7 linked regions of the Ovis aries genome follow. The protein of the gene in region 1 interacts with the protein of each later gene in a pairwise test. Links are inferred from orthologs where the notes say so. Each region holds a gene or a part of one and is shown on either strand. Other genes may lie near its edges. The genes, in order: CCDC136, RAB33A, LENG1, PSMD9, MOS, FAM107A and PDLIM5.

Region 1 (4,599 bases):
TGGAGCCCTATCCCCCAGGGAGCACAAGAAACATCTTGATCTGTGCTCACCATCTCCCTGAGCACATACTGGGCTGGGAGTATGAGAGGGAGGAAGAAAGGTGAGGAGAGAAGGCAGGGTGTGGCGGGAGGGAAAGAGACAGACAGAGGCTGAGAGGCAACATTATTGTTAACAGGTAACACTGAACTCCTTGAGTGTGAGATTATATACTAAATGATAAGCAGAGTATACAGATGTGAAGTTAGGAGATTTACCTTTACTCATTCATTCTACGTGTAAGAGAATTTGTCAGATGCTAGGAGAAGGCAATGGCACCCCACTCCAGTACTCTTGCCTGGGAAATCCCATGGACACAGGAGCCTGGTGGGCTGTAGTCCATGGGGTTGCTAAGAGTCGGACACGACTGAGCAACTTCACTTTCACTCTTCACTTTCATGCATTGGAGAAGGAAATGGCAACCCACTCCAGTGTTCTTGCCTTGAGAATCCCAGGGACGGGGGAGCCTGGTGGGCTGCTGTCTATGGGGTCGCACAGTCGGACATGACTGAAGTGACTTAGCAGCCGCAGCAACAGCAGAGATATACAGAAGACCATGTTAACTCCCAGTCTTCAAGAAAATGGGCAGACAGAAAATTGAAAATCTGACCTTGACAACCCTGAGTGACTGGCAATGCCCTAGAGAGAAAGGAGGAGAGGGTGTGTATAATGGGGTGGGAGGGGGCATCAGGAAGGGCTGCCTAGGGATGACTCCCTGCTGAGTGTTGAAGGGTAAGTAGGGGATGTCCAGGTGAAGAAAGGTTCTCCCCTGAAGAATATGGAGGGCTCGTGAACCTGGGAGCCTGTGGCGGTGACAAAGACAATATATGCCAAAGACCTTGTGAGTGGATGGGTGAGAGAAAGGATTGGTGTGTGTCCCTGGCTTAGGAATCTCCCAGTGCTTTTCTGGATGTCCTGGGACGCCCCAGTTCTCAAGTGTACCCATATTTTTCCTAGCTAAGACCTTCAGAGATGTGAGAACAATTGTTTCTTCAAGACCTGGCCCCTGGTAGACGTTCCTTGAATGAATGATGAAGTTAAGTGAAATAAGCCCGCGTAAGTTTCACATCTCCCATTTTTAACTGTAAATCAGCAGTGCCCACCCTGAACAGGCTATGCGTGCATGATGAGTGGGGGTCATTCTCGCAGCCCACCGGGAGTAGGGCTCGTGGGAAGGCAAGCGGTGGAGAAAGGCGGCCTTCGGACACTAAGGACAGTGTAGGGCCACGGAGCCGCCCCTCCTAAGAGGGTCCCTGCTTCTGGCTTGGTGAGGGGCGCACGCACGGACAACAGAGGGATCAGGGCCCCGAGTTCACGTATCCTGGCCTCAGTTTCCCCGCTCCTGCCCTCACGCAGTTCTGGGGCGGGTGGCCGGGGTCCGCGCCGACTGCAGAGCTGGGGGGCGCGCCCTGCGCCATAGGGAGCCAGGGGAGTGGAAAAGCATCCGCGTGTTTGCAGGAAACAAGCCGGGAGGATCCGTCCATCCTTTTGGTTTTCCTGCCTCATCACCGAGCTAGACGGGATCCTGGCACACGGAGCAGAGGGGGTCTCCTCGCGCAGCCGACTCCTGGCTGCTCGCACTCTCCGCGCGGGTCTCCTCCCATCTCCCGCTCGCTCGGCCTCGGGGAACTCGGGAGCTGCGGCGGCCGACCGGCTTCCGGGCGGGCGGCGGCGGGGGCGGTGTCAGGTGGCCCGGCCAGGCCCCGCCCCCTCGGCCGGCCCGCCCTCCCTCCCCTGCGCACCCGGCTCCGGTACCCGGCCTCGCGGCGGCGGCGGCGGCGGCGGCGGCGGCGGCGGCGGCAGCGGCAGCGGCGGTGGCGAGAGCGGCCATGGAGGCGGGCGCCGGGGCCGGCGCGGGCGCCTCGGGCTGGAGCTGCCCGGGCCCAGGTCAGAGCGCCCCTCCTTCACCTCTCCACTGCCTCTCCTTCCTCTTCTCCATCTCTCCTCCCCCCAGACCCCCACGGCCTCTCCCCCCTCCGCTACTCCCCACCTTGACGGCCGAAGTCTTCCTCCTCCCTCCCTCCCGCCCCCCACCCGGGCCCGGTCTCCATCTTTCCCGGCTGGGTCTTCCCCACACCGGCCGCATCCTCCTTGGCATTCCCTGCCCTGAGCCTTCTCAATCTCGACTCTCCAGCCTCATACTGCTTCCAGCCCTAGGGGCTCTATAGATCCTGCACCCGCTCGCACCCCTAAAGCTTCTGAGCGCGGGGCGCGGGTGGGGTGGACGAAGTCTAGGGAGAGATGGAGGGGAGGGGAGGGGGTCCGGTCCACACGACCCCCGCCAGCCATCGCCGGCCCCCTCCCCACCTTCCCCTTAGGCGCACTACCTCACCCTTTCAGCCTCTTTACTTGCTCCCACCCTCTGCCATCCTTGTCCATCTTCCCCCTCTGTCCCCTCTGGGCTAAAGAGACACACACCCTTTCTACCTGTGCGAGGGAGAGGAGCCTGGAACAGAGGTTGCAGAGGAGGATGGGCAGGGCAGGGCGGGGTCCCCAGAGGCCCAGCCTAAGGGGCAGCTTGGGGAGAGGAGTCGCAGTGCCTGGCAGAGTGAGCCAAGTACTTCCACCGGGATAAAAACCCCCAGGGCTCCGAAGGGCTAGAAGGTGTGTCCCTTCCCCTCCCTGCCTCACCCCAGCCACCCTGGCACCCCACAATCCCTCTCTCTCCTTGCTCACAGGACCCACAGTGACCACTTTAGGCTCCTATGAGGTGTCGGAGGGTTGTGAGAGGAAGAAGGGCCAACGCTGGGGGTCTTTGGAACGGCGGGGGATGCAAGCTATGGAGGGTGAGTTTTCCTGTAAAGCTTTCTTTCCTTCTCCCTCACCCAATTTTCCTTCCTCCCTCTGACCCTCCAGAACTCTGAGCCAGGACACACACCTTCCCCCTAGTTCAGCTCAGCACCCGCTAGCCCTCCTCAGGGCTCAGGTTTTGAGGGAAGTTCAAGGTACATCCTTTTGGGGTTCTAATCACCAGCTAACCAGGTTGTGTGTCCCGAGGGAGCTGCCAGACAGAGAAAGAGGCCTCTTTGGACAGAGCTTTGAAGCAGCCTTTCAGCAGGGGGTTTGTTCTCTCTGCCTCCCGACCCAGATCCCAAGCTGTCTCTTATTTTGAAAAGCAGGGAAGTGAGCACGTGAACTGTCTTTCTGGTGCTGCCACCACTGACTTCAAATGGAAGCCTGGTGGCTTTGGTTCTCTAGGCTATCTTACTGCCTGAAAGAGGGAGCCTGGGAAGGGGGCTGCTGAAAAGGCCAACCTCCCAACACATGTGTATTCCCACAACACCCATGCGACTTGGCAGTTGTTGCCAACACCAGGAGGATGCTAGAAGGGTGCCAGTCCTGTTGCCAGGACTTCCCGTGAAGGGTCCCCAGGTCCCTGTGCACATCTAGTGTGGTCAATCTTGCCCCTTCCCCCCCCACCTCCACTGACCCCGGGGAGACAGATGATGCCAGGGGTCCCAGATGAATCTTAGGCTGTGGTTACTGGACAAAACCAGGCCAGAGACTCAGAATTTTAAAACAATTGCCATCCAGATAAGGTTTTGCTATTTAGAGAAACTGCATTGCAGTAAAGGAGGGGGTGCTTGCCAGCCAGAGACTGGGGACCAACACACCCCAGTTTCTTAACTCATTAAAATGGCAGGCTTTCTTTTACACACAAGTACAACCTATGACTTTCCCCTAAAAACTGCCTTGTGGTCAGCAGGGGAGGAAGTGAGACCCCCAGACACTCAGCAGGGAAAAGAAAAGTGGACTTGGTAGAAAATTTCAAAAAGTCTATTCAATGGAATATGTTTGGAAGGGCCCCAGTGTTTGTCCAGTAAATCCTTTAGATCATTTCATTCAGATGTTCTCTTTCTCTGCCTACTGACAGGCAACACTTTCATATAATGGAAAGGCTAGTTTCTCACAAGCCACCTGGATCGTTTGTAAACTTTGTACAAACCCCCAAACTGTAATTCTTGCCCTGTTTGGCTTAAAGACACACCCAGTGTCTGAATCCTTTCTTGACTACTTGTGCCCAGAGACAAGGATAGAAGAAGCAAGGTATCCTTGTGCAAGCCAGTCCCTGGCTGTTCAGTCCACCTGAAGGCAGTCCTTGGAGGCCCCAGAGGCAATATTGGTCCAGGAAGTGCCTGGGAGGGGGATGGATACCTCCAAACTTGACTCTCACACCTCAGGGCCCCTCAGGCATGCAGGTGCTGCCCAGAGGCTCCTTGGGGGACACCAGGTGGCACTATTATACCATCTCTGTCCTCTAAGGACAGTGAGGTGGAGGGCCCTCTAAGGACTGTGTAAGAAAGTTGGCTCTTACTCGCTGGCGGGATGTTGCGGGGGTCTCTCCTAGGGGAAGTGTTACTCCCAGCTCTCTACGAGGAGGAAGAGGAGGAGGAGGAGGAAGAAGAGATGGAAGAAGAGGATGATCCAGGGCAGAAAGGCGGCAACGCAGGCTCCCTGTCGGTTAGCAAGCACCGAGGCCTGAGCCTCACGGAGACGGAGCTGGAGGAGCTGAGGGCTCAGGTGCTGCGGCTGGTGGCAGAACTGGAGGAGACCCGGGAGCTG
Region 2 (4,365 bases), on another chromosome or scaffold:
CTCAGCATATGAAATCTTTAGGAGGAGGGATAAAGTCTTAAAAGGAAATGTAAATGGGCACATTTTATTGTATGTAAGTTGTACCTCAGTAGAGTTGATTTCAAACAAATTCTGAACCTGCAAATCACTTTTGGCAGAAGGAATTGGTCTTGACCGAGATGTGTAGTGCTTATTAAGCCTTGGGAAGCTGTCCCCTAATACCGTAAGAAAAGTTCTGTTCATTTATCATCTTCCAAGCATAATCTAGGCTTCTGGCAAATTAGACCCAACCACTTTGTTCTACATTCAGTTGCAGAGGGGTGAACGCTCCTAGGGGTTTCCACTTCCTTTTGAAACTCCACCATTCTGCAAGGATTTGTGATTGTATGGAGAGCCCAGAAGTGCAAGACACTGTGAGGTTTACGCCATGTCTCAGGATCCCTCCACCTGGACCTGTCACGGTTAGCCCCGGAAACAAAGTCCCCTTTTGCTGAAGCTGCCAGCACTAGCTTCCCCTTCTCTTAGCCCACACACCGGCCCTCTGCCGCGGCGGGCCTTCCCCATTGGCCAGCCAAACACAACCGACTGCAGCAGCCAATGGGAGCCACTCTCCTGAACATTCAGAGGATGGGTGCTCGTGGTGTGATGAGGGGCGGTTGGCGCCTGGCACGCGCCCCCCTACATCTGGCAAGTCTGTGACAGAAACAGTAACTCGCCCTACACACGCACACCCGTGCCCCTGCCTTCCTCCTCTCAGCTGCGCGGGCCCCACAACCCATGGTGTGTCTTGGCAGCGCCCTCCCCGGCTCCCTGGGGCGCGCGAGCGCACCTGCTTTCTCAATAAGACAGAGCATCCCTTTATCTTAAGGCTTGGGAGGGGGCCGCGGAGGCGGGGCGCAGCTGCCCGCCGCAGAAGAGGTGAAAGAGGTGTCTGCGCCCCACATCCCACTCCCGCCGAGTAGTGTCGCTCCAGGGCCAAAGTGCTCTAGAGACGCCCGAAGGTGCAGCTTTCTTTGTCCTCCCCAGTTGTGCTCCCAGCCCGCTGACCCCGAGCGCTCTGAGAAAGTGGGAGTGGGGAGCCCGAAAGCTATAAAATAAATGGGTGCAAGGAAAAAGGAAGACCATCCCGAGCTGGCGTGTGCGGATCTCCCCACCCACCCTATCCTCCTTAGGCTTCTTCCCTCCGGTGTGTCCCTGGGGTCCCGGCAGGGGAGGGTTTATGCAAAGGCGCGGTGGCGGCAGAGGCGGCCTGGGGAGCGCCGTAGGATCCCAAGCCTGAGGGCACAGGCCCAAGGAGAAGGCTTGCCGGCTCTCCTCCATCTCTCCTCCCCTCCCTGGCTTTTGTGTCGCTGCCTCTGAGCTGCTAGGAGGGTGCGCTGGAGGAGGGGGGCTGGGGTGAGAAGCACCCCCTTCACGCGCGCGCGCGCGCACACACGTTGCCGGCGCACGCATACACGCGCGGGTACACACTCACAGACACGTACGCACACACATACACACGCACAAAGCTCGCTCGCCTCGAGCGCACTAACGTGGCCGTTTTCTTTGTGTGGAGCCCTCGAGGGGGGTTGGGGCCCCGGTCTGGTCCGGGGGAGATGGCGCAGCCCATCCTGGGCCATGGGAATCTGCAGCCCGCCTCGGCCGCTGGCCTGGCCTCCCTGGAGCTGGACTCGTCGCTGGACCAGTACGTGCAGATTCGCATCTTCAAAATCATCGTGATCGGGGACTCCAACGTGGGCAAAACCTGCCTGACCTTCCGCTTCTGCGGGGGTACCTTCCCGGACAAGACTGAAGCCACCATCGGCGTTGACTTCAGGGAGAAGACGGTGGAAATCGAGGGCGAGAAGATCAAGGTGATTCAGACGGTCAGGTCCAGAAAGGGAGGGATCTGGGAGGGGGTCTTGCCAGAGGTATCTCTCATGTGGTTGTAAATGTCCAGCGTGTGGCTGTGTCGCCGCTTGCTGAGCCCAAGACCCTCCGCAAGTCCTCATCCCCTTTCGCCTCTCTCAGTGGCCCAATTCCCACCTCAACCCCCCCACTTTTTTTTTTTGAGGGCTGGAGGGAGTGGTTGCATTCATGCCCTTTGCCCTTGCCTGACAGCTCCTGCCAGGAAAAGCCGGTTCAAACCCATCCTCGACCCTGAGCCGGGAGCAGCGGCACCTGTGGGCAGAGGGAGGTATGAGGGATCTCCGTCCTGGTCTGTGGAATGGATCCCAAAGCACTTCACATATCTTGAGGTCTCTTCTACCTCGTGAGTGCCAATAGGTTGCACAAACCTGCTTTGGCTAAGCCCTCAGGCCTTGGCAGTGGGCAGGCGGGGTGGTGGGGGGAGGATGGAAATCCATAGAGAATGAAAAGTGCTGTATTTTAAATTAAAATGTATAGTTGAGATTAGGGCTGGTTTGGAATAGGAGTGGTGTGCAGTGGTTCTGGCACAAAGCCATTAGCCCCTTTAAAGAAATTGACATAGGGTTACCTGCCGGCACTTCATAACAGATAAAACTAGTTCTTTTGGAAGAGCACCCCTCAAATGATAGCTTCTTTATTTGTCTGGTGTACCTAATGCCTGTTACTCATTCTGTTGGTATTGTCTTCAGCGGGCCTTTGTAAAGATGCAGAGCAACTTGTTTGAGGCCTAAGGAAAGTGTCTTGGTGCCCCCATCTCATTAGTTTGTCAGTAAGTACAGATATTCTTGTCTGACCATTTGTGCTCACTTTCAGATCAGAAAAGGCAGAAACTCAAGAGGACAGGAATATTTCAATGTGCAGAAGATGGGGGGAGGAAGGACCTGGCAAGGGCAGCTTCATGTGCTGGGGGAGCAGAGGGGGCAGGGTTATGGGCAGCAAAGACACCTCAAAAGGCACTGGGCACTAAAGACCAACTCCTCTAGAGCCACAGCTGGCCTTTTCTCAAGCCTGTGGTCAGACACTGTCAGGTGAAGTTAACCCTCCCTTTCCATTGGGCAAACAGCCCAAATGACCACAGGACCTCTCTTCTGAGTGATGTAGAGAGAAGGGCTGAGTAACTGGGGAGGGTGATGAAATGCTCTAAACTGTACAAGATTCCTGACTCCTTCGTTATTAAAATGAACAGGTTTTAAAATGGCTTCAGAGACTGGTCCAAGGCACTTGATGTCAGGAAGATGGGGAGCTCAGTACCGATACGGGAGTGCTCTTGAGAACAACTGACCCCAGGATCAGGAACATAGGGTACTGTTTGGAAATAGTGATCTTTTTTGCCCCTCTCATTTTGCCAGGCGGTGGTGGGGGCGGGGGGCGGGGGGGCATTGCTACATTTCCTTTTAAATGTCAAAGTAGGTATCTGTCTCCATCCTTTCCTAGGGCTCTTATTTCAATGTCTGTTTGGCTAGGACTTCTTTAATGTAAGGTTGTAAGACTGGAATTTCTAAAACATGCCTTTTAAAATCCAAAATAGAAATATACTTATGAATGTGTTCTTAAACCCTCAAAACCTTTCGAATTTAATGCTATCGCTTGTTTAACATCATGTCACATTGAGCCAAAGAGTCGTTTACATTTAAGAGAGGGGGAAAGAAGTCCACTTGAAATTTAGATGAAAGAAAAAGGAAATGTTTGGGAGTCTAGGAAAGGAGAAGAGGGGGAGAGGAGAGGAGGAAGCCAGAAAGTGGAAGGTGAAAACGAGTGGAAGAGGGTCACTGCCCAATGGCCTTGGGGAAAATTTTGCAAAGATTCCTTCCCTTCTAACATCCAGTACTTAGTCAAACTGGATTTTACAGTGTCCACCAAAGATTCTGGACCTCTTCCCAGAGGGCAGAGCCTGTGACAGTGTGACTCACAAGAGATGGAGCCCAGTACAGCACCACGTGCACATAAGTGCTTAATACAGGCTTTTTTGGGAAGATGATATTTTCAAGAGGACGAAATCTTGTGACACTGCTCATGGGCGAGCCCTCTGAGTACAGATTCTGAAGGGGCTCAGGGTAGGGTGTGGGAGCAGCGGGATGGGGGCCCTGCCTCCAGCAAGGCTGCTGCAAGCCCAGAGCCCAAGCTGGCAGGTGAGACCGGCGTGTCTTTGAGGAGATGGCAGAGCACAGCAGCTAGCACAGGCACCCCAGGGGAGGCAGTTTTGCCCCATACTCTGGCTGGCCTGAAATGTCTCAAGGAACGAGTACCAAAACCCATACTAGGAGGTGACTGTCAAAGGCTTCTCTTTTGGGGAGAGAGAGAAAAGTCCCCAAACTGAGGCAGCCCTAGACCACAGGTTCAGCAGGAGAAGGCTGTCAGGCTCTAAAATGGCAGTGCTGGGACTTCCCTGGTGGTCCAGTGGTTAAGACTCTGCTCGCAATGCAGGGGGCCCAAGCTCAGTCCCTGGTGGGGGAACTAAGATCCTGCATGGTATAAGGC
Region 3 (4,558 bases), on another chromosome or scaffold:
CATCCCCTCCTGCCAGATCACCCTCTTCTCCACCTGCTCCCCGGCCTCCCGCACCTTTCGAGCCTCCACTGTGAATTTCTTTTTCCCCTTGGTCCTTCTCCTGGGTCTGGCCATCTCCGCGGTTCCTGTGCTTTATAGCATCTTCCTGTAAGTGTGGGAGGTACCGGCCTCTCCCACCCTCCACCCTCCTGTCCAGGGTTCTGACTTTGGGCCATCCTTGACCTCTGCCTATCTCTGATTCCAGGATCCCACCTTCCAAGCTGTGTGGTCCATTCCGGGGTCAGTCGTCCATCTGGGTGGCGATCCCCGAGTCTATCTGCAAACTGCCTCAGATGGCCCAGAATTTTCTCTTCTTCCTGGGTACCCAGGCTTTTGCTGTGCCCCTTCTGCTGATCTCCAGGTGAGGGCGCTAGACTCCTGGGTCTGATTCTGAATGTCTGACCTGGGGTCCCGCTGCCTGCTTCCGAGAGAGAAGGGGGTTGGGGCCCAAACTCTTGGGTCTTCGGGAAGGAGGGGGCTGGGATGCTTCGACTCCTTGAGTCTGAAGGAGGAGGTCCAGACCCCTGCTTTCTAAAAAGCCCTACGTGGAAGATATTCTGAGAACGTTTGCGGAGTGGCTTCCACTTTATCTCCGCTAGCATCCTGATGGCGTATACAGTGGCCCTGGCTAACTCATATGGACGCCTCATCTCTGAACTCAAACGCCAGATACAGACGGTGAGCCAGGCCTGGCCCCTGGGAAGGGGTCCTGGAGAGTATGAAAAAGAACACAGGGGAGAGATGTGTCTCACCTCCCCTCTACCTTTCCCTCAGGAGGCGCAGAATAAAGTCTTCCTGGCACAGCGTGCTGTGGCGCTGAGCTCGGCCGACAGAACTCTTTGACCTCTCCAGCCTGGCTTGGGGTGACGTCCCACTTCCAGCCCCAGACCTGCTCCCAGATCCTTTTTGAGCTTCGTCAACATCATTTGGAAAATGAGTGAACTGGGGAAGACCCCGTGCTTTTCCAGCCCTGGGATTCCCTGCTGAGGCCCCGACCCTCCAGTGAACCTCTTTCTAGTACTGTATCAATGAATCTAGTACTGTGTCAATAAACACAGCGGAGGCCGCTGAGTGCTTTTTAATCTCCGGTCCAGAAGCTGGGGCAAGCCTTCACAGGACATAAACCAATCAAATGTGTGGCTCTGAGAGCGTGGCGGACTCTTCCGCGAGAGAGACCGCGCCAGCCAATCAGCGGCTGCGTTCAGGAGCCTCGGGGCGGGGACACGTGATTGAATCAGAGTCTTGGGGAGCGGCGGTCGCTAGGCGACGCCACGCGCGATTCTCGGAGACGGGGGACGTGGGCCCCGCAGCCAGTCACCTCTCGCTACAGCCCTGGGGGGTCGTGTCAGGCAGCGCAGAGCCAATCCGTGGCCGAGGAAGGAGCAACGGGGCGGGGCCTGCCTCTCGCCAATTGGAAGTGCCAGGAGGTGGGCCTGTCGGTCCGCGGACGGCTGAGGCGCCATGAATATTTTACCCAAGAAGAGCTGGCACGTCCGGAACAAGGACAATGTCGCCCGCGTGCGGCGTGACGAGGCCCGAGCCCGTGAGGAGGAGAAAGAGCGTGAGCGGAGGGCGCTGCTCGCTCAGCAGGAGGTGAGCCCCCGGCCCGGGCGGACGCGGCGCCGCGGCTCAGCGCGCAGGCGCCGGGGAGCGGGGCGGCGCCGGGGAGCGGGGCGGCGCCGGGGAGCGGGGCGGCGCCGGGGAGCGGGGCGGCGCCGGGGAGCGGGGCGGCGCCGGGGAGCGGGGCGGCGCCGGGGAGCGGGCCACCCTGGCGGACCTGGGGCCCGGCTCCCGGGCGGGCTGGGCCTGCGGGCCGTGCCGACGTTCCCCTCGACCTCTCCTTGGTCCTCCTGGAGGGCCGGAGTAGGGGGTCGTGAGTAATCGGAGCCCTGGGCAGTTCACGGAAGCTCGGGCCGCTTGTTACTTTAGCTGTACAAACACCCTGTGCAGTGAGCTCTTGCTGTCCCCTGGCGGCTCAGACAGTAAAGAGTCTGCCTACAGTGCGGGAGACCCGGGTTCGACCCCAGGGTCGGGAAGATCCCCTGGAGAAGGAAATGGCGATCCGCTCCAGTATTCTTGCCTGGAGAATCCCCTGGATGAAGGAGCCTGGTGGGCTACATACCATGGGGTCTCAAGGAGTCGGAAACGACTGAGCGACTTCAGTTTCGCTTTCCCCTGTTCATCCCGTGCAAAGCGCTTGATTTGCAGTCTCTCGAGCCCTGTTCGTTCTTAGCGGGGCGGTTATCTCCCTTCGGCGGAGAAGTGAGATGGCTTCAGAGGAGCCACAGCGAAGCGACAGTGTCTCAAGCCAGTCCCGCTGCGCCAGGCGTGCCTTTTGCCTGCACCGCTGCGCACAAACGTTAGAGAGTCTCTCTAACTCCTCACCTGTTTGGTTTACACCTAGCTTCCAGTCCTTTGACTAATCCGATCGTCAGCACTGGCTGGGAGGTAGTCAGGGTTTTTAAAGCTCACCTTTATCGGACTTCCCTAGTGGCCCAGTGGCGTCCAATGCAGGGGCCCCAGATTCAGTCCTTGATCAGAGAACTAGATCGCACATGCTATAAAACTAGATCTGATGCAGCCAAAGCAATATTTTTTAAGTTCACGGTTATCAATAGAAATTGGAAATCAAATGGGCATAATGACTCAGCGCCCTTCCTGGAATTCAGATCACCTGTCCTAATAGATGTTTTGGCTGCCTTTATAGCTGTTTTCATTGTGTCAGAAATGAAACCCCCTCGTTTACTGTTTGGAAGATGGCTTACAAACCATGCCTTGCCTCACTGCTCCACCCTCTCCCCAGGAATAGTCAGGTGCCTCTTCTGGGTTCCCAGTGCCCCTGCTCCCTTCCTTCGAGCCCTTACCACTGCAGTGGTCAGCACTAGGCTCAAGAGTCCCTTGGGCTACAGCTAGGTTCTGAATGTTCTGCCTGTAACTTTTTTTCCCTCCAGGCCCGCACAGAATTCCTACGGAAGAAAGCCAGGCATCAGAACTCACTTCCTGCACTGGAAGCAGAAACGGGAGCCCCATGCAGTTCTGGCCCTGTGGATCTGTTTCGGGAGCTGCTGGAAGAAGGCAAGGGGGCGACGAGAGGCAATAAAGAGTACGAGGAAGAGAAGCGACAGGAGAAAGTAAGGTGGCCTTACCCTCTTCCTCGGGTCACGGGTGGAGCCAGGGGTGGGGGTGTACCTTGCCCTCAGGTGTGATTACGGGAATATTTAGGGAGATGGTGGGGATTAAACAAGCTAGAGAACTCAGAATAGTATTAGAACATAGCATGTTAAGAGGTGTTGATTATTGCCGGGTGCTAGGTAGACCCCCTCAGGTCTCTAACCTGATGTGCAAACCTTGAAGATGTTGGGAAGTGTTAAGCTTCTTAAAATGTAAATCAGACGCTGTCCCTCACTTGCCCTCGGGGTTTCCTATCAGACTGCCTCCCCGCCCCTCCCCCCTCAGTCACTGCTTTACCTGGCTGGCTTCACAGTTTCTTTTCTATCTCCTCAAAGATGCTGCCTTTGAACCCTAACATAAGCAGTCCCCTCCTTCCTATGCTGTTTGTTGCTGAAGCTGTCCTGGTGCCCCAGAGCAGGGGCACCCCGGGGACTCATCTCTGAAGTCCCAGCAGCTGGCAGAGTCGGCTCCTGACGGGCTCTGCTGGCTGAATGTCTGGTTCTGCCTCTGCGGGAACCCTGGCTGCCTGAGAGGGAACATGCTTCCTGTTCTCACTTTCACATCTTGTCTCCCTCAGGAGAGGCAAGAGAAAGCCCTGGGCATCCTAACATACCTGGGACAGAGTGCAGCGGAAGCCCAGACTCAGCCCCCATGGTACCAGCTGCCCCCTAGGCCGGGCGGCCCCGCCTCTGGTCCTGGGCCCGACGAGAGGATCAAGAGCCGCCTGGACCCGCTGCGGGAGATGCAGAAGCACTTGGGGAAGAAGAGAAAGCACAGTGGAGACAGTGGTGGTCACAGCACAAAGGAAAAGAAGGCGCCTGAGAAACAGCGACCCAAAGAGTAAGGAGCCTCTTTGGCCAAGTGGGCACCACGGGCGCTCTGGCTGAGGCAGGGGCTCTGGGGTCTGCAAGGTCAGGCCCATTTTCGTAACACCGTTGAACGTTTTCAGCCTTGTTCCGGGGTCTGCAGAGACTACATGGTATTTATTACAAGGCCACTGCCCTGGTGGCTGGTGGGCCATCTGCTTGCTCTTGTTCACGTTGTATACATTAGATTCTGGACAGCTCTGAGGTTGTTTCTGAGACCAGAGTTTGAGGAGCAGAGGTTCGAGTCAACAGGCGTTCTTGTGTTCCTAGGATGCCAGACCGCCGAGTGCAGGCTGGCACCCTGGCCAGTCTCCTCACAGAGGAGGGGATGAGCTAGGCAGTGCGCAAGTCCGCCCAGCCGAGGATTGGCAGAGGAGCACTGCCCGTCGAGGCCACCTGCTGGGTCCCAGCATCAAACCCCTGCCCTTCGAGGGGCTGGGCCTCCAGCTTCCCACACTGACTGTACTCTCCCTGCAGGCCTC
Region 4 (4,463 bases), on another chromosome or scaffold:
GAACGTGACCTTATTTGGAAAAATGATCTTTGCAGATATAATTAAGTAAAGGATCACAAGAAGAGATCTTCCTGGATTTCGGGTGGCCCCTATATCCAACGATGGGTATCCTGATAAAAGAAAGGAGAAGGAGAAATGGGACAGAGAGATGCAGAAAGTAGGCCACGAAGACAGAGGCAGGGATTAGAGAGACACTGCCACCAGCCAAGGATGGCCAGGAGCCACCAGAATTTAGGAGAGAGGCAGGGAATGGCTTCTCCCTCAGAGCTCCAGAAGGAATCAAACCTACCAACTCCTTGATTTCACACTGCTGGTCTCCACAACTGAGAGAGGATAAACTTCTGCTGTTTTAAGCCACCAAGTTTGTGATCATTTGTTACGGTGACCCCAGGAAACTAATACACACAGAAAGTAATAAATGAGGGCTGTAATGATCTGCACAGAGACTAACTGCTGAGCATACACAGGTTCCAAGGGGAGGGATTCCATTCACTTCTCTCCCTTTCCTTCTGAAAGCCTGTGGGTTACACTTACTGTTTTCTGTTCATGGGGAAGGGGGTCTCGTATACTCCCTTAACCCAGGACTCTCTATAGATACGGTATAAATGTGCCAGGGGCTAATATCTGTATCTGCCTCCTGTATGCTCACAATGATTAAGAGTTGACTGGCCTTCCTGATTGCAGTAAGGCAATACTGCATCAGAGACTGGTTTCCAACGTTGGGACCTGGGCCACTGGCAACTCATATACAAGGCATTTAATAACCCTGAATCTAAAATACTTATTCCCTTTCCAAATATCATCAATCCTCCAGTAGTCAAAGAAAAAGTCGTGCTGGTCTCCATATTATCTCCAGATCACTTGTTATATCTGGGCCTCTCCATTTTTAAAAACAGCTTTATTCAGATATAATTCATACACTATGCAATCCACCCATTTAAAGTGTATAATTCTGAATGTCCCTGGCAGTCTGCTGCTGCTGCTAAATCGCTTCAGTTGTGTCCGACTCTGTGCGACCCTACAGACAGCAGCCCATCAGGCTCCCCCGTCCCTGGGATTCTCCAAGCAAGAACACTGGAGTGGGTTGCCATTTCCTTCTCCAATGCATGAAAGTGAAAAGTGAAAGTGAAGTCACTCGGTCGTGTCAGACTCTTAGCGACCCCATGGACTGCAGCCTACCAGGCTCCTCTGTCCATGAGATTTTCCAGGCAAGAGTACTGGAGTGGGGTGCCATTGTAGTTAAGAATTCTGTGCTTCCACTGCAGGGAGCACAGTTTCCATCATTGGTCAAGTAACTAAGATCATGCTGCGTGGTGCAGCCAAATAAATAAATGTACCATTCAGTGGTTTTTAGAATATTCATAGAATTATGAAATCATCACCACAATCAATTTAAAAACACTTTCACCACCATCCAAAAAGAAACTCTGACCCACTAGCAGCCACTTCCATCTCCCCCTCCCCTCAGCCCCTGGCAACCACGAATCTACCTTCTGTCCATGAATTTGCCTATTCTAGATCTTTCATATAAATGGAATCATAAAATGTGTGGTCTTTTGTGATGAATTTCTTTCACTTAGCTTTCAAAGTTCATGATCTTTTGTAGCATATGTAGCACTTCACTGTTTTTTATTTAAGTAATATCCCATTGTATGGACAGACCACATTTCATTATCCATTCATCAGGTGACAGATACATGGATAGATCACCTTTGGGGGGGGATCACTTTCATTAGTTCATATTTAAGGAAAGAGATTCTTATGTTTTCATATGCTGTGAAGTTACAAAATTTCCTTTAAAAATAAGATTAAGTAAAAAAATATGGGTTAACTTAAAGGAAAATAACAAGGGAGTAACAGTACAGGAGGTATACAGACACAGCATCCTGTCTGCAGTAGAAAAATAACTCAGGTGTGAGAAACCACTTGAAAGCACAGATTCTGGATTCCCTAGGCATAAGATCTAAATCTCATCTTGTGACTTCCCCTTTCTGAGTCCCAGAGTAACATACCAACTTCATAGAGCAGTTAAGAGGATTCCAGGATATAGCATACACATAAACCAGCTCAATTCAGGCACACAGTCAGCACCCAGTAAAAGGGTACCCTGGCCTCCACATGATACTTCATCTTATAAGCATCACCTACATTGCACTTCATCCACCCTGTATAGAATGTAATTCATTTACTCTTCCTCGGCAAATTGATTTGTGGTTTTACGCTAGGTGGCTTAAGAAAAACTGTATCCGTTTTGGAGCCAGAGAGGCCTGAGAACTAACCCCGTCACAGCCACTTCCGACGTACAGGACCCTAGGCAAGGGTTTGCCCCACTCTTGGCCCCAGTTTCCTCCTTATACCGTAAGGATAATAAACCTTTCCTGTTATGTTCTTACACCAGTGGCATCAGCATCGCTGGGAATTTGCAGAAATGCAGTAGCTGTTCCCACACACCCGTGCATCATCAGAATCTGAATTTTAATAAGATCGCCAGGTGATTCGCGTACACATTAAAGTTTAAGAAGCTCTAAGGTAAAGTGGTTACAGGACATCTGGTAACTGTACGACCGATGCCAGAGATGATTATCACCCTGCCTCTGCAAATTTATTAGCCCTGAAAGAGGCGGACACGACTGAGCGACTGAACTGAACTGCGACTTCAGGCAGGTTTAAGTAATGTCTCTTTCTCCATCCCTAAAATGGGTGAAATAATAGAACTCACCTCAAAAGATTATTGGGAGGATTAAATGCGTTAACCAATGTGAAGCGTTTAACACAGCTCCCAGTGAGGGCTCCATAAATGCTTGCTAGAACATCGATTCGAATCCTTCCTAGTTATTCACGTTACTTGCCTCATTGCCCGGCCTGGGGCCGCGTCAGGAATGCGTTGCGGGGCCTCCCAGCCCGCCCGGGAGCCCAGTTCCCACACTCACGCTCTCCAGCACTTCATAATTGGCTTTGATCTGGGCCTCGATCTCCTCCTTGCGCCGTATCAGTTCCTGAATGTCGCTGACAGTTACACCACTGGCCTCCGAGGAGCCCCCACTCTGACTCCCTGCCTTCTCCGACATTGTGCACGTCTACCCGGGACCTAGAACTGCCGGTTTCCCGGCCGCGGACGCCCGAGGAAACTGTAGCTACGGCTCCGCGCGCGGGCCAAAACACCTCGGCTGTTCGCGGGAGCCCGGAAAAGTAAAAGGTGTGGTTTTGTCTGTGGGGCGTGGTCACCAGAAACCACACCCTGCTGGAACAAGTGGTCCTGTGGTAACTCTTGGCGGGAGGTATGAGGACGGATGGATTCCCAGTCCCACCCAAGCGCTGGCCCAGACCAGGGCATGATGAACTCTCTCTAGTTGACTCGCTTTCTTTTCTCATTCATTCAGCTATGTATTGAGCGCCTCCTGTATGCATGGGGCAGCGCACTGTGCGTGGCGCTCCATTTCAGCTCTGCATCTACACAGTCCTTGAGGGTTTACATAATACTCAGATTCCTGGTTTTACAAAGCCTATAAGCTTGGGTTGAAATCCCAGCTCTTGCCTCTTACTGCCAGTAGTGGCCTAGATAAATCACTTCACTGAGCCTCCATTTCCTTATCCGTGAGTTGGTTGGCTATTGATAGCAATCTATCTCATAGTGTTGACATTCATATGACATATGATATTCATATGACATAGTGTTGACCTGTTTGCAAAATGCAAACAAGTATTTATTGAATGCCTCCTTTGTGTCATACACTGTCCTAGGTGCTGGAAGGGCAAAGAAGTGGGCACTGGACTCAGTGTGTCTCATATTAAGGTCTCTATAAATATCAGTAAAAATAGTATTGATGACAACAATAATATCAATACTAATAATTTATCAAATACAACGCATTGCACTGTTCTAAGGGCCCTATGTGTATTAATTCAACAAATTTGGGACTCCCCTGGTGGTCCAGTGGCTAAGACTGTGGGCTTCCAATGCAGGGGGCCAGGGTTCAATCCCTGGTCAAGGAACTAGATCCCACATGCCTCAACCAAGAGTTTACATGTGGCAACTTAAAAAAAGATCCCGCATGCTCCAAAGATTTGAAACTCGGCGCAGCCAAATAAATTGTTTTAAAAAATTCAACAAACTCATAAACCAGGATTATTATTACTCTCATTTGACAGGTGAGAAAAATCATCTCAATGACTCACTTGCCCAGCTAGCAAAATAAGCAGCCCCAATTTGAACCCAGCTTAACCAAAAGATGACACAACCTCTTAACATGTTCCCACTGACATTTTGCACTGAAAAAGACACACCATCACCTACCTAGTAGTCAAACATGTTTGCTCTGAATCTAGTCATGAAAAACAAACAGACAAACCCAAATTGAGGGACATTCTTCAAAACAACTTGGCTGAACTCTTCAAATATGTCATTATTGTGAAATATCCACACAGAAGCTAGGCAATCACCTAGATTAAAGACTAAAGGGACT
Region 5 (3,179 bases), on another chromosome or scaffold:
AATATACTTCAGAAGCATAGACCTATCTTCAGAAAAATGTGTTTACACATCACCTATATGCTCTAAGTGCAAAAATAAAGTCAAGATAGAGCTTTACCATTTGACTTTTCAAAACATAGATCCTAACATCTTCCTGTGTTTTTTCATGAACAGGGTGTTATTGTTGGTTTTTTCCCCAAAGGTATGAAATGAAAACTGTCTTTTTTTAAAATAAAAATTAGAACAGAAGAACTCACGGCTGAACAGCAAGATCCTGGATTTAATCTCAACATCTGATTTTCCACAGTATATGGAGGAACAGTATATGACTGTGACTCTTTTTATTTCTTCAGATTTTTCCTCTCCTAAGATCTCTCGTATTTGTTATTATTTGACGCTCTGCTTGTAGCTCTGAATCATTTTCATTCTTTTTCCTCCTCTAACTCTGCTTCAAAACTTCTGTAACTTATTTGCTGTGAAGTCTAAAATCTCTTCTGCAAGTGAGCGTACTGGGTGCACCAGACAGCCATGGACCCCAAAGACTGCTAAGGATGCCATATGTTGCTAAGAAGTCTTGCTAATTTGCTCTATCAGCTGAATGGGGTGTCAGAGAATTTTCTTTTCCTTTATGAACTCAGAGTGTTTATGCTGTGACCTGTATCAGCAATTCTGCTTGGATCGATCACTTTCAGCTTACCATTTTTCATCCCTCCGTGAACGTTGCACCTAATTTTCCCTGTAATCGGTTCAACAACTGTCAGCTGTTCATGTTTCAACTCTTTCTGCCAATAACTGCTGGAAGTGATTTAATGCAGCTGGAGAATAAACTGACAATCATTATAGCCTGCAAAGTGTGAAAAAAATTTCATTGCACTATTGTGATCTGAGGACCGATGACGCCCAGCGGATGAGACTTGGAGTGGGGGTGGACGGGTAGGGGAGAAGCCTGCTTTATAATAATTAAAGAACTTGTGGAAGAGGGTGATTCCTGGGGCAAGTTAACTGTTTATCCGGTGAACCCTCTTCCAGGGCTTGTTTTATAAGAATTCACTGTAAGTGCCCAAGGGAAATACCTTCATCTGAATGGGGTTTCGGTGCTGCCTGCGCTCAGATGGTTTCCTCAGCTGATAAAAGTCCTCGCTAAGGAACCGCACAGATGTGGCTCCTTTGGGGAAGATGAAGGCAGAGGAGACAAACACGGGGGCGGAGCGGAGGGGCAGCAGCCAGTGATGCCTGCAGGCCGACGGGATCCCCTCTTCCAGGCCGGCTCACCTGCGCTGCAGAAGAGATGCCCTCGCCCCTCCCGCGGCGCCCTCACCTGCCCGGCGACCTCTCGCCGTCGTCGGGGGACTCGCGGCCCTGCAGCAGCCCCTGCGAGCTCTTGGGGGGCATCTTGCCGCGGGCCCCGCGCCTCCGGCGTCGGCTAGCCTGGTGCTCCATCGACTGGGAGCAGGTGCGTCTACTACGGAGGCTGGGCGCGGGGGGCTTCGGCTCAGTGTACGAGGCCACCTACCACGGTGTGCGAGTAGCCGTCAAGCAGGTGAGCGGGTGCTCCAAGAACTCGCGGGCGTCAAGGCGCAGCTTCTGGGCCGAGCTCAACGCGGCCCGGCTGCGCCATGTTAACATCGTGCGCGTGCTGGCGGCCAGCACGCGCCCGCCACCGGGTTTCGACAGCCTGGGGACCGTCATCATGGAGTTCGGGGGCAACATCACCTTGCACCAGGTCATCTACGGCCCCACCGGCTGCCCCGGGGACTCTGGCGCGCAGCTGGGCTTGGAGAGGTGTCTAAAGTACTCCCTAGACGTGGTCAGCGGCCTGCTGTTCCTCCACGGGCAAAGCATTGTGCACTTGGACCTCAAACCGGCCAACATCCTCATCAGTGAGCAGGATGTCTGCAAGATCGGGGACTTCGGCTGCTCCGTGAGGCTGGAAGACCTGCGGAGCCCGTGGACGCCTCACCACCTGGGCGGCACCTACACTCACCGAGCCCCGGAGCTCCTCAAAGGAGAGCCTGTTACACCCAAGGCCGACATCTACTCCTTCGCCATCACCCTTTGGCAGATGAGCACGCGGGAGGCGCCCTTCTCGGGGGAGCGGCAGCACGTGCTCTATGCCGTGGTGGCCTACCACCTCCGGCCCGCTCTCCGGGCACCCGTCTTCACCGACTCGGTCCCCAGGAAGACGTTGGCGGGCATCGTCCAGCGTTGCTGGGCGGCCCTTGCTCCCGAGAGGCCGAGCGCAGAACTTCTCTTGGGGGACCTCCACGCTTTGAAAGAGGAGCTGGGAGGACTCGAGACTGGATCCAAATAAGCGTCTTTGTTTCTGATCGTTTTTAACGAAGTGAAGATTTAGCGGGGGAAAAAATCATATAGGTAGGATGGATTTTTAGAAAATAAAGTCCCTTAAAAACTCCCTTTATCTCGAATGCTTTTTCTAAGACAAACCGCAGAGCGGTCGTGGTGCTCTTTGTCGTTATTTAGTCGCTAAGTCTTGTCCGACTCTTTTGCTACCTCATGGACTACAGCCGGCCAGGCTCCTCTGTCCATGGGCTTCTCCAGGCAAGAATAGGAGAGCAAGTTGCCATGCCCTCCTTCAGGCAGTAACAGGTATTCCTGAATAAACTGTAAAAAAAAAAAAAAAAAAAAAATAGTTGTCTGCAACCCCAACAAAGAGGACAGCAGCTCATTACTCTTGTTGTTTTCATTAAAATGGCTATTGTTTGTATTTGTTGTTGTTGTTGAGTCCCTAACTAGTGTCTGACTCTTTGCTGACCCCATGGACTGTAGGCCACCAGGCTCCCCTATCCATGGGATTTCCCAGGCAAGAATACTGGAGTGGGTAGTCATTTCCTCCTCCAGGGGATCTTCCTGATCTTCTGGACCCAGGGATGGAATCAGGGTCTCCTGCATTGGCAGCTAGATTCTTTACCACTGAGCCACCAGAGAAGCCCCCTGGTGGTTTCAGGACCTACCTTATCTCCTTACAGGGTTACTGGGCTTACTTTAACAGTTCCATGGTACTGCACTTTTTCAAATTTGTTATTTGTAAAACCAGGTTTTCCAAAGCAGAACTGAATTCGAAAATGCCAAAATTCTTGATACTCAAATAACATGCTCCATACCCACCACCTAAATTTAAACTACCAACAGTTAATTTTGTTCCCATATTAAATAAGTGAAAACATTAAAAAAAGATTAAT
Region 6 (4,602 bases), on another chromosome or scaffold:
CCTACACCTCAGGGATGTCATACGATACTTCTTCTCTGGCTGATTTACTTCACTCGGTATGACGATGTCTGAGTCCGTCCATGTTGCTGCAAATGGCAAGGAATCAACAGATTTCTGTATGTCCGCCTTGCATCCTGCTACTTTGATGGGTTCAGCTGATCAGTTCTGACCCTTTTGTGTGGAATCTGTAGGGCTATCTATATTATGTCACCTGTATGTGATGAATTTACCTCTTCCCTTCTGATTTGGATGCTTTGTATTTCTTTTTCTTGCCTGATTGTGATGGCTAGGACTTCCAATACCATGCTGAATAGAAGTGGTGAGAGTGGGCATCCTTGTCTTGTTCCAGGTTTTAGTGGGAGGGCTTTCAGCTTTTCACTGTTGAGTATTATGCTGGGTTTGTCATCGATGGCTTTTATCATTGAGCTATGTTCCCTCTGTACCCACTTCGCTGAGAATTTTCATCATGAATGCGTGTTGAATTTGATCAAATGCTTTTTCTGCCTCTACTGAAGTGATCCGATGGTTTCTGTCCTTTGTTGATATGGGGTACCACACTGACCAGTTTGCATATGTTGACCCATCCTTGTGAACCTGGAATGGATCCAACTTAATCATAGTGTATGATCCTTTTATGAACTGTTGGATTCAGTTTGCTAATATTTTACCGAAGCAAAATTGCATTTTTAATGCTGGCATTCATGCTGGATGTATGCCCTGGGTCTAATCACTTCCCAACCCACCCAGACTCTTCACGAGAAAGTAGAGGTGGGAAGAGGGCCAAGTTTAAGTGGAGGTCAGCTTCCTCACTAGGGGATTAAGGAATGACAACACAGGCTAGAAAACACGTCCACGTTTCAAGCGAGCGGATTGTGAAACTAGGAGAATGCCTGTTATCTGTAAACACCCACACTGGCCTTTGGTAGCTACATATGCTCTTTATTTTCACACTCATACACTGACTCCTTGAGACGAGACCTTCGGGGCACAGACCCCACCAGGGACGGCGCTGCACGCCATTCACACCGAGTCCAGCTCTCTCCGCAGGAAAAGTCCTCCTTGCCGCGCACTGACGGCCTGCTTCCCGGTGTCAGCTCATCTGTGTTTCTTCTCAACCACTGCTGTTTTCCACACTTGACAGGCAGAAACCAAGGCTCAGGGGTTGCCGACCGGCTGCCCAAGGGGCTCATGCCGGGCTGAGCAGGGGCGAACACCAGGGCTGGTCTGGCCCAGAGCTGGTCAGCGTCCACTCACCCACATCCCCTGGGCGCCATCCTGTGGCTCCCCACTGAGGTTCAGGGCACTGAGGAAGCACCAAGGATGGAGTTGTTGGCCTGTACGTGGGTGACTGGAGTTGATGCAGCCTAGTTTCCCCTCCTTTGCACCAACAGCCGCTTTCCCCTGGGGAGTCGCGCCGGGCAGCAGGAAGCCTGCCCCCCCCCACCCCCACCAGGTCAGGGAGGTGCCAGAAGGCATTCTGGCTGACCCTCCATCAGAAACAAGGGAAATGCCTGTGCCTGAGCCACGCCGCTCAGAACAAAGCTTGGTGTGTCCTTGCCCCTCAATGATCTGACCAAATCGATACTTATTTGCGCCTGCCTCCCCGGCAGTGGGGCTCGGACACAGTGTTCCGCATGGAGGAAGTGGCCGAGCACCAAGTGTAATACCCGTTACTATAGTAACAGTTCCTTTCTAATGATACCAGAATAAACAGGAACGCAGAGCCGCCTCCCTCGCTGGCTCTCTTCATCCCCAGGGCTTGACGAACCGTCCTGTGGAGGCGGCCCCTCCTGGCTCACCCGGGACTCTGGTGGAGCGAGGACCAGCAGCGCTGCGCTCGGAAGTTCTCTTCCCAAGGACACGGGCTCAGCTGAGGAGTAAGACCGGCTCTCTTCTGTCCCCCGTGCTGCTGAGCTGGGGTGCGGTGCCAAGAAGGGGTGTGGCGGGGTAAGGAGGGCAGCCTCCCAGCGCCAGGGAGGCCGGCAGGGGGGCAGAGCTCTTGGAGCCCAGGTGCCACACTCTGCGAGATGACGCGGGTGCCTCTGGGCACCTGGGTTTGGGAAAGGGCTCGGAGAGGCTGTGCCGGGAGCGCTCGGATGCAGCCTCCCCCGCGCCCCGCTCTGGCTGATCTCTGTCTTCCGAATGCTCGGGTGCCTCTGAGTTCATGCGTGGCATGACCTCGCGGCAGCGGTAGTTCTCTTGAGGACCGACAGGTCAGAAGCCGGCCGAGACGGCCCCAGGCAGACAGCTCAGCTCAGGCTCCGGAGCCTTCACTTGCTGGCCGTGTGATCTGGGAAAGACCCCTCAGCCTCAGTGTCTTCATTGGCACAAAGGGGTCTCAAGAGCACCACCTCCTCAGTCCGTCGTAAGGATTTCATGAGGTGCGGCCGCTGCGCGCAGCTCGTGGCACAGGGTGAGGGCACGTCCGTGCGTTGCCCACCTGGGTTTGGCTTCAGCACTTTGCAGTGTGAGGCAAGGCTGGTACTGGGCCAGGAATCAGGGGGCTATGGGGTCGGGTGCGTCACTTTTCTGAACTGCTGCTAAACCCAGCGGTTTCCCCGCTGTGGGGCAGCCCCGGTACCTGCATCTCTGGCCAGCTTGGACGCTGAGTGGCTCTTCGCCCCACTGGTGGTAAGTCCTGCCAGGATCCCCCCGCCAGAGGCACTGGTCAAGTGGGGTGGCTGGCATTATGCCACTGGTGGGCCGACACTGTGCCTTGATCAACTGCACAGGACGCTCCACCCGCCTCGCTAAGGACCTTCCACGTCCAGCCCTGGCCTCTGCTATGGAACTGATTCGAAACCCTGTGTGCCCACCAGACCATCTCACAAACGAGGTCACGGGAGACGCAGGCAGAATGCTGAGGAAGTTTGTCTTGAGCCAGTTTGGTTGGGGGAGGCTGCGTCCTAGTGATCCAGCCGCTCTGGCGGGGGCTTCCAGGCATGGGGGCGGGGGGCTGGAAGTGTGGAAGAGGCCCCCAGATATGCCACGCTGTGGCTGCAGGTCAGGGAAATACAAATGGGCACTCTATCCACTGGGAGGAAAGAGGTACGAAGGTTCAGAAATGCGATGGCCACGCTCGTCACTTTCACTGAAAGCTTCTTTCTCCTTGGTCAGTAGTTAATTTCACAGCTTCCCTTCTCCTCTGCGCGTCCATCCCGTGAAACGCGGAACCGAGGAGATCACTGGCTGTGTTGTAAACGCGCCAGCTTGATCAGTAATGAGGAGCAAGGGCAGGGGGAGGGAGCGCATAAGAGTGAAGACTCAGACAACACCCCGGGAGGCACGGCCACCAGCTGGACTCTGCTAGCAGCCCAGCGGGGCGCAGACAGGCCGGTGGATTCTGGCTTAAGCCCAGAGCAGTGAGGGCCCGGCCTGGGCTCCCCAGTGGGAGGGTGCAGAGTTCCCCAGTTCGCAGCACCGGTTTCTCACTATCAAAGGGCTCCCACTGCCTCTACTGGGCTCTCCCGAGTGTCCAGAGAGGCAAGGGATGTAAAGCTGCCTGGCTGACCGAGGCGATGCCTTGCACCTGGAAGACACCGCAGTGGCAGAAAGAGCACTGGCTTTGCGGCCCAAAGCTTCTGACTTTGCCATTTATTTTGCGTATCTTTGGACAAGTAGCTTGGCCTCTCTGAGATTCAGTTTTCCCATTTAGAAAATGGGAATAATAAAACAGTACCACTGGCTGCCTCCTGGGGGAGACTGTGAGACCCGAATGCAGGCGAACGAGCCTTCATCAGATGTCAGGTGCTCAACACGGGTCCCCTTGGCGGTGGCGGTAAAGAGCCTGCCTGTCCATGCAGGAGACATGAGCGACGCGGGTTCGATCCCTGACTCAGGAAGATGCCCTGGAGGAGGGCATGGCAACCCACTCCACTATTCTCGCCTGGAGTACCCCGTGGACAGAGGAGCCTCGCAGGCTACAGTTGCAGAGTCTGTCGTTGGCTGCCTCTGCCCCACCTCCACCACTTCAGCCTGTCCAGTCCTCACAGCATCTTGATTGTAGAGAGAAGGGTCCAGGAAGTTAAGTTCCCATCCAAGGTCACAAAGCTGCCAAGCACACCGACTGTAACCAGACCCGCCCCGAAGAGCCAGTCCAACCAGTCAGCTGAAATCACTCAGGCCAAAGCAAAAAAAGCTTGTTTTTTTTTTTTTTAAACTCTGTGTTACAAAGTTGTCTATTAGAATCACTTTGGACGCTTTTTATGTCATATTGAACTATACTTACGTTGATTCAATTTCAGGTATGCAACAAAGTGATTTAGTTATACATATATATATATATATATACACACACACACACGTGCATTTAAAAAAATTTTTCCCAGTTAGGTTATTACAGAATATTGAACAAAGTTCACTGTGCTATTCGCTAGGTCCTAATTAATTATGTTTTGAATGTAGCAGGGTGTATACACTTATTTCAATTTATCCCTACTCCCCACCTTTACCGGCTGGCGACCATAAGTTTTCTAAGCCTGAATCTGTTTCTGTCAAGAAGTTCATTCCTATTATTTTTTTTAAAGATTCTGCATGTAAACAATATCATATGGTATGTCTTTATCTGACTGTCTTCACTTAGCGTGATAGTCTCCAGGCTGA
Region 7 (3,802 bases), on another chromosome or scaffold:
TTTAAAAGTTTTTTTTTTGGAGTTCTAGTCATTTCTTTGAGGTTGTTCTTGTATCAGTTCTTAAACAGTAATACCTGTTTCAGCTGAATTGGGAAACAGTCTCAAGAAGGTACGAGATATATTCTGTGGAAAAAACTCACTATAGATATAGTGAGTTTGTACTTGAAAACAATAAATTTCTCCAATGCATTTATTCAACAAATATTTATTTGTTGTTTTCTATGTTGTAAGCACTTTGTTTTACTTACACCAGTGAACGTAACTGTCCCTGACCTCAGGGAGCTTCTAATCTAGTGAGGGAGTCCAGATTCAAACAAATAACCACATAAATTGTATAATTAATATAATAACAAATTATGTGAAGAAAAAGTACAAGGTGGTATAAAACCATATTACACAGGCCGCATTTAGGTAATTTGGGGAATTAGGGAGACCTCCCTGAGGAGGTGACATTTAAACTGAGGCCAGAAGGTTACTTAAGAACTAGTGTGATGAAGATGTGGCGGAGAGCTGGGTATAGAAAGTGAGAGGTAATAGACTGCACAGTGGCCTTGAGGTGGGAAGAGGGTTTAAGAAGAGATGGAAGACCGCTGGACTGGAGCAAGCCAGACAGAGAGAAAGCTCTGTAAGAAAGGCTGGTGAGTAGGGAGCCTAGGATCACAGCCATCCATGGAGCAGTGCTGGCAGCATCTAAGAACCAGACAGGGTCAGATTTATGTTCTTAAGAGTTCGCTCTGGTAGCTGTGTGGAGACATTAGTCTCTGTGACAGGGGGTCAACAGACTTTCTCTGTAAGACATGAGGTAGTAAATATACTAGATTTTGTGAGTCATGGGGGTCTGTTGCAGCTGCCCAGCTCTCCATGTTTTATGGAAGTAGCCATAGACGCTATATGAGTGACTGAACCTGGCTGTGTTCTCGAAAACTTATTTATAGATGCTGACATTTGAGTTTCATATAGATTTTACGTGTTGTGAAATAGTCTTTTTTTTTAACTTTTTAAATCATTTAAAGATATGAAAGCCATTGTTAGTTCCCAGGCCGCATGAAGATAGGAGGCAGGCTGACTTTGACCTGGGAGCTGTGGTTTGCTGAGTGTGGTTTGTTACAGCACTTCTTTTCTTTCTTGTTTAACTTTTTTTACTCTGCCTCTTAAATGATGTTTACTTCTACCTTGACATTTTTCTTAAGTTATCTACACTTTTTTCCAACACTCTGTTAAAGATATGACCAGTACTAAATAAAAAATGGGAATATAACCTCTTCTATTTTTATCTTAGTGTTACATTTTCCATTTGAAACTCAATAGACATGACTGATCCATTCTACTTTTTTCCACAGGCTTTTTTAAAAATGAATAATTTTTTGTTTTTTCCTGTTTATTTTTTTTTCCCAAAGTGTTATACTTGGTGCTTTCTTCTTTCAGGCCTCACACTGAATTTTTTCATCTTCTCTTTACTTGGTAATAACTCTTAAATTTAATTCTGACATTCAAAAGAAAAAATGGTAAAGACATCAGGAAAACAAAATGCATCATATTCAAACAACACAATTGCTTGTAAACGTTTGTTTCTGATAAGATGAAATAGTTTCTTTACATCAAGGTATGACATCCATATTATTTCAGATCTGCAAATAATTATTCTGACTTGAAGGGAAATTCGTAGTTGCTTTTGTGTATTGTGGTATTCAGCCCCACAGGATGCTAGAAAGCATAAGGTTTTAGAAAGAGTACATATAGACTTGGTTCAGCATCCATCTGAGCCTTACTAGGTATATGATATGATATGATATGATATGATACTGGGCAACTTAATTAATTTCTTGGAGCTTAAGTTTCTCTGAAGCATGCAAAATACATAGTGATGGAAATTCCCACCCACCTTTCTTCCCCCTGTAAGCATGATAGTTTATCACATAAAAATTGCTATGTTAAAAAACGGCCTATATTTGTTGATTGTGAGGGTGTTTGGTGTTAGTTTTAACCTTCTACAGATAGAAAGTTTAAAAAAAAAATCTAGCGGTATTCCAAAATGGAACCAATGAGCTTTTAAGGTGGTATACATGATTAAAGTCTGTACTTTTCATTAATATTTCCTCTGCCTTGTTTATTTTACTTCTGAAAACTCAGGTTTGACAGTTCTCTGGAAGACCTACCTCAGAGTGGACCTCACCCACCTACAACTGCTCAGGTTTTACATATTGGTGGCCAAGTAGCCACAGTTTCTAAAGTAACTTCGTATTCTAGGTAGAGTTTTTTCCTCTTGTCTGTCTAAATTTTAATGCTGGTGGTGATAGGTACTAAAACTGTTTGACTATTAATACAAAGGAAAAGCTGATCATAGATTACAGAACTGACATCTCTAATATATAGACAGAGCTTGGCGCTCAGCCTTGGTGGAACACTGCTTTACACTACTTTTAAATTTTTCATTTTTTGTTTGGATTCTGAGTTCTAGTTTAGAGTCAGGAAATCTGTGCCTTTTCTCTGTTCACTGTGCTTTGGAAAGTCATCTTTCTTGAGTTTGTCATAAGTCTATTGAATTAGAGCATTCCCATCTAAAAAAGAACTGATAGAAATTTTATGTTCTAGGTGCCCAGATACATTCTAATTATATTGAGGTTAATTTTCCTAAGATTTTGACGGACTCTGCTCTACTCAATCTTTTTATACTATTATTTGTGATACAATGTGATGAAAGAAATTCATTATAGCTTCCTTTTCTTCTTATAGAAGAAGGATAATTTAGCTGATTGATTTTTTAGATGACTTTTTTGTAGACTTAAGTGTCTCATTATTTGCCATTATTTCCCTGAAATAGAAGCCATTGTCTCAAAGATGCAGAGTAATTGAAAAACTCAAAGTTGAGTCAGTTGTAACTGTATTCTTCCACTTTGTATGACACTCATATTCTTGTGCTCTGCTGCTTATCTCATTTTTCTTTTCTTTTTCTTAGACCCCATTTTTTCTTTTCTAGCCATTCACAACAGTTAAAACATATCTGCACAGTTCAATTAAATTATAGACTTACCAAAAATTATACTTAAGCAATTCTCTCTCTGTGTGTGCATATAATATAGATAGATAGATGGATAAATGACTTACCACGGTTTTCTTAATTTGTCTTCTAATGTTTTGTAAAATTATAGCCAGTGGAACTAGGAATAATGAATTATCAAATTATTCTAGAAGGGAGAAGAGGAGACAGGGAGAAGAGACTTATATCACCCCTCACAGTTTTGGGCATCGGAGCTCTTATTCGCTTGAGTTGAGTTTGGTACATAATTATATTGTGTTAGAGGTGGCCACTGTCACCAGTTTTGGAAAAGGCAGTCATAGTATAGTGAGGCTATTCATTAAGAACTTATATGCGTAGTTAAAGCAGAGAGACATAGATTTCATCCCATGCATTTTAAACTTTCTTTTTACCTAATAAAGAAGTTCTCAATTCCAGCTTGATAACCAGATTTGAGAGAAGGGCATGGCAACCCACTCCAGTATTCTTGCCTGGAGAATCACCATGGACAGGGGAGCCTGAAGGGCTACATACAGTCCATAGGGTCGCAAAGAATCAGGCACGGCTGAGAAACTAAGCAACAGCAGCAACCAGATTTGAAAATCATTACAATCCTAACGATGGAATGTTAATTCCTATCTAGGCATATGACCTTTTCTAAAGGACCAAAGGAAACTATTACTTTAAATAATTGGAATTTTGAAGGTAAAATTTCATAGCAGCATTTTTGAATCTTTACAGAGCTAACTGAAAATAGAAATACAGAGCATCATTAGAGAAGGTGAT

The links.
Region 2: the proteins of CCDC136 (region 1) and RAB33A interact in binary tests that used the Homo sapiens proteins (3 or more experiments, as listed by UniProt). The two-hybrid records come from large-scale screens. The link is inferred for Ovis aries from reciprocal best matches to the Homo sapiens genes CCDC136 and RAB33A.
Region 3: the proteins of CCDC136 (region 1) and LENG1 interact in binary tests that used the Homo sapiens proteins (3 or more experiments, as listed by UniProt). The two-hybrid records come from large-scale screens. The link is inferred for Ovis aries from reciprocal best matches to the Homo sapiens genes CCDC136 and LENG1.
Region 4: the proteins of CCDC136 (region 1) and PSMD9 interact in binary tests that used the Homo sapiens proteins (3 or more experiments, as listed by UniProt). The two-hybrid records come from large-scale screens. The link is inferred for Ovis aries from reciprocal best matches to the Homo sapiens genes CCDC136 and PSMD9.
Region 5: the proteins of CCDC136 (region 1) and MOS interact in binary tests that used the Homo sapiens proteins (3 or more experiments, as listed by UniProt). The two-hybrid records come from large-scale screens. The link is inferred for Ovis aries from reciprocal best matches to the Homo sapiens genes CCDC136 and MOS.
Region 6: the proteins of CCDC136 (region 1) and FAM107A interact in binary tests that used the Homo sapiens proteins (3 or more experiments, as listed by UniProt). The two-hybrid records come from large-scale screens. The link is inferred for Ovis aries from reciprocal best matches to the Homo sapiens genes CCDC136 and FAM107A.
Region 7: the proteins of CCDC136 (region 1) and PDLIM5 interact in binary tests that used the Homo sapiens proteins (3 or more experiments, as listed by UniProt). The two-hybrid records come from large-scale screens. The link is inferred for Ovis aries from reciprocal best matches to the Homo sapiens genes CCDC136 and PDLIM5.

Annotation. Positions count from the first base shown.
Region 1 is NC_056057.1:94,458,982-94,463,580, forward strand, and holds the start of CCDC136 (coiled-coil domain-containing protein 136), read left to right. Parts: upstream 1-1,776; 5' UTR 1,777-1,865; coding exon 1,866-1,923; intron 1,924-2,714; coding exon 2,715-2,822; intron 2,823-4,384; coding exon 4,385-4,599. UniProt on the Homo sapiens protein: May play a role in acrosome formation in spermatogenesis and in fertilization.
Region 2 is NC_056080.1:114,027,294-114,031,658, forward strand, and holds the start of RAB33A (ras-related protein Rab-33A), read left to right. Parts: upstream 1-1,406; 5' UTR 1,407-1,574; coding exon 1,575-1,832; intron 1,833-4,365.
Region 3 is NC_056067.1:63,980,614-63,985,171, forward strand, and holds the start of LENG1 (leukocyte receptor cluster member 1), read left to right. Parts: upstream 1-1,474; 5' UTR 1,475-1,500; coding exon 1,501-1,632; intron 1,633-2,990; coding exon 2,991-3,170; intron 3,171-3,787; coding exon 3,788-4,050; intron 4,051-4,553; coding exon 4,554-4,558. Other genes in the region: TMC4 (transmembrane channel-like protein 4), read left to right, coding at 17-147, 245-400, 639-717, 814-882.
Region 4 is NC_056070.1:53,464,286-53,468,748, forward strand, and holds the start of PSMD9 (26S proteasome non-ATPase regulatory subunit 9), read right to left. Parts: upstream 3,097-4,463; 5' UTR 3,069-3,096; coding exon 2,931-3,068; intron 1-2,930. UniProt on the Homo sapiens protein: Acts as a chaperone during the assembly of the 26S proteasome, specifically of the base subcomplex of the PA700/19S regulatory complex (RC).
Region 5 is NC_056062.1:36,287,531-36,290,709, reverse strand, and holds MOS (proto-oncogene serine/threonine-protein kinase mos), read left to right. Parts: upstream 1-1,200; 5' UTR 1,201-1,267; coding exon 1,268-2,290; 3' UTR 2,291-2,392; downstream 2,393-3,179.
Region 6 is NC_056072.1:42,903,648-42,908,249, forward strand, and holds the start of FAM107A (actin-associated protein FAM107A), read left to right. Parts: upstream 1-1,802; 5' UTR 1,803-1,919; exon of another isoform or gene 1,920-4,602. UniProt on the Homo sapiens protein: Stress-inducible actin-binding protein that plays a role in synaptic and cognitive functions by modulating actin filamentous (F-actin) dynamics. Mediates polymerization of globular actin to F-actin. Also binds to, stabilizes and bundles F-actin.
Region 7 is NC_056059.1:30,649,605-30,653,406, reverse strand, and holds part of PDLIM5 (PDZ and LIM domain protein 5), read left to right. Parts: intron 1-2,130; coding exon 2,131-2,247; intron 2,248-3,802. UniProt on the Homo sapiens protein: May play an important role in the heart development by scaffolding PKC to the Z-disk region. May play a role in the regulation of cardiomyocyte expansion. Isoforms lacking the LIM domains may negatively modulate the scaffolding activity of isoform 1.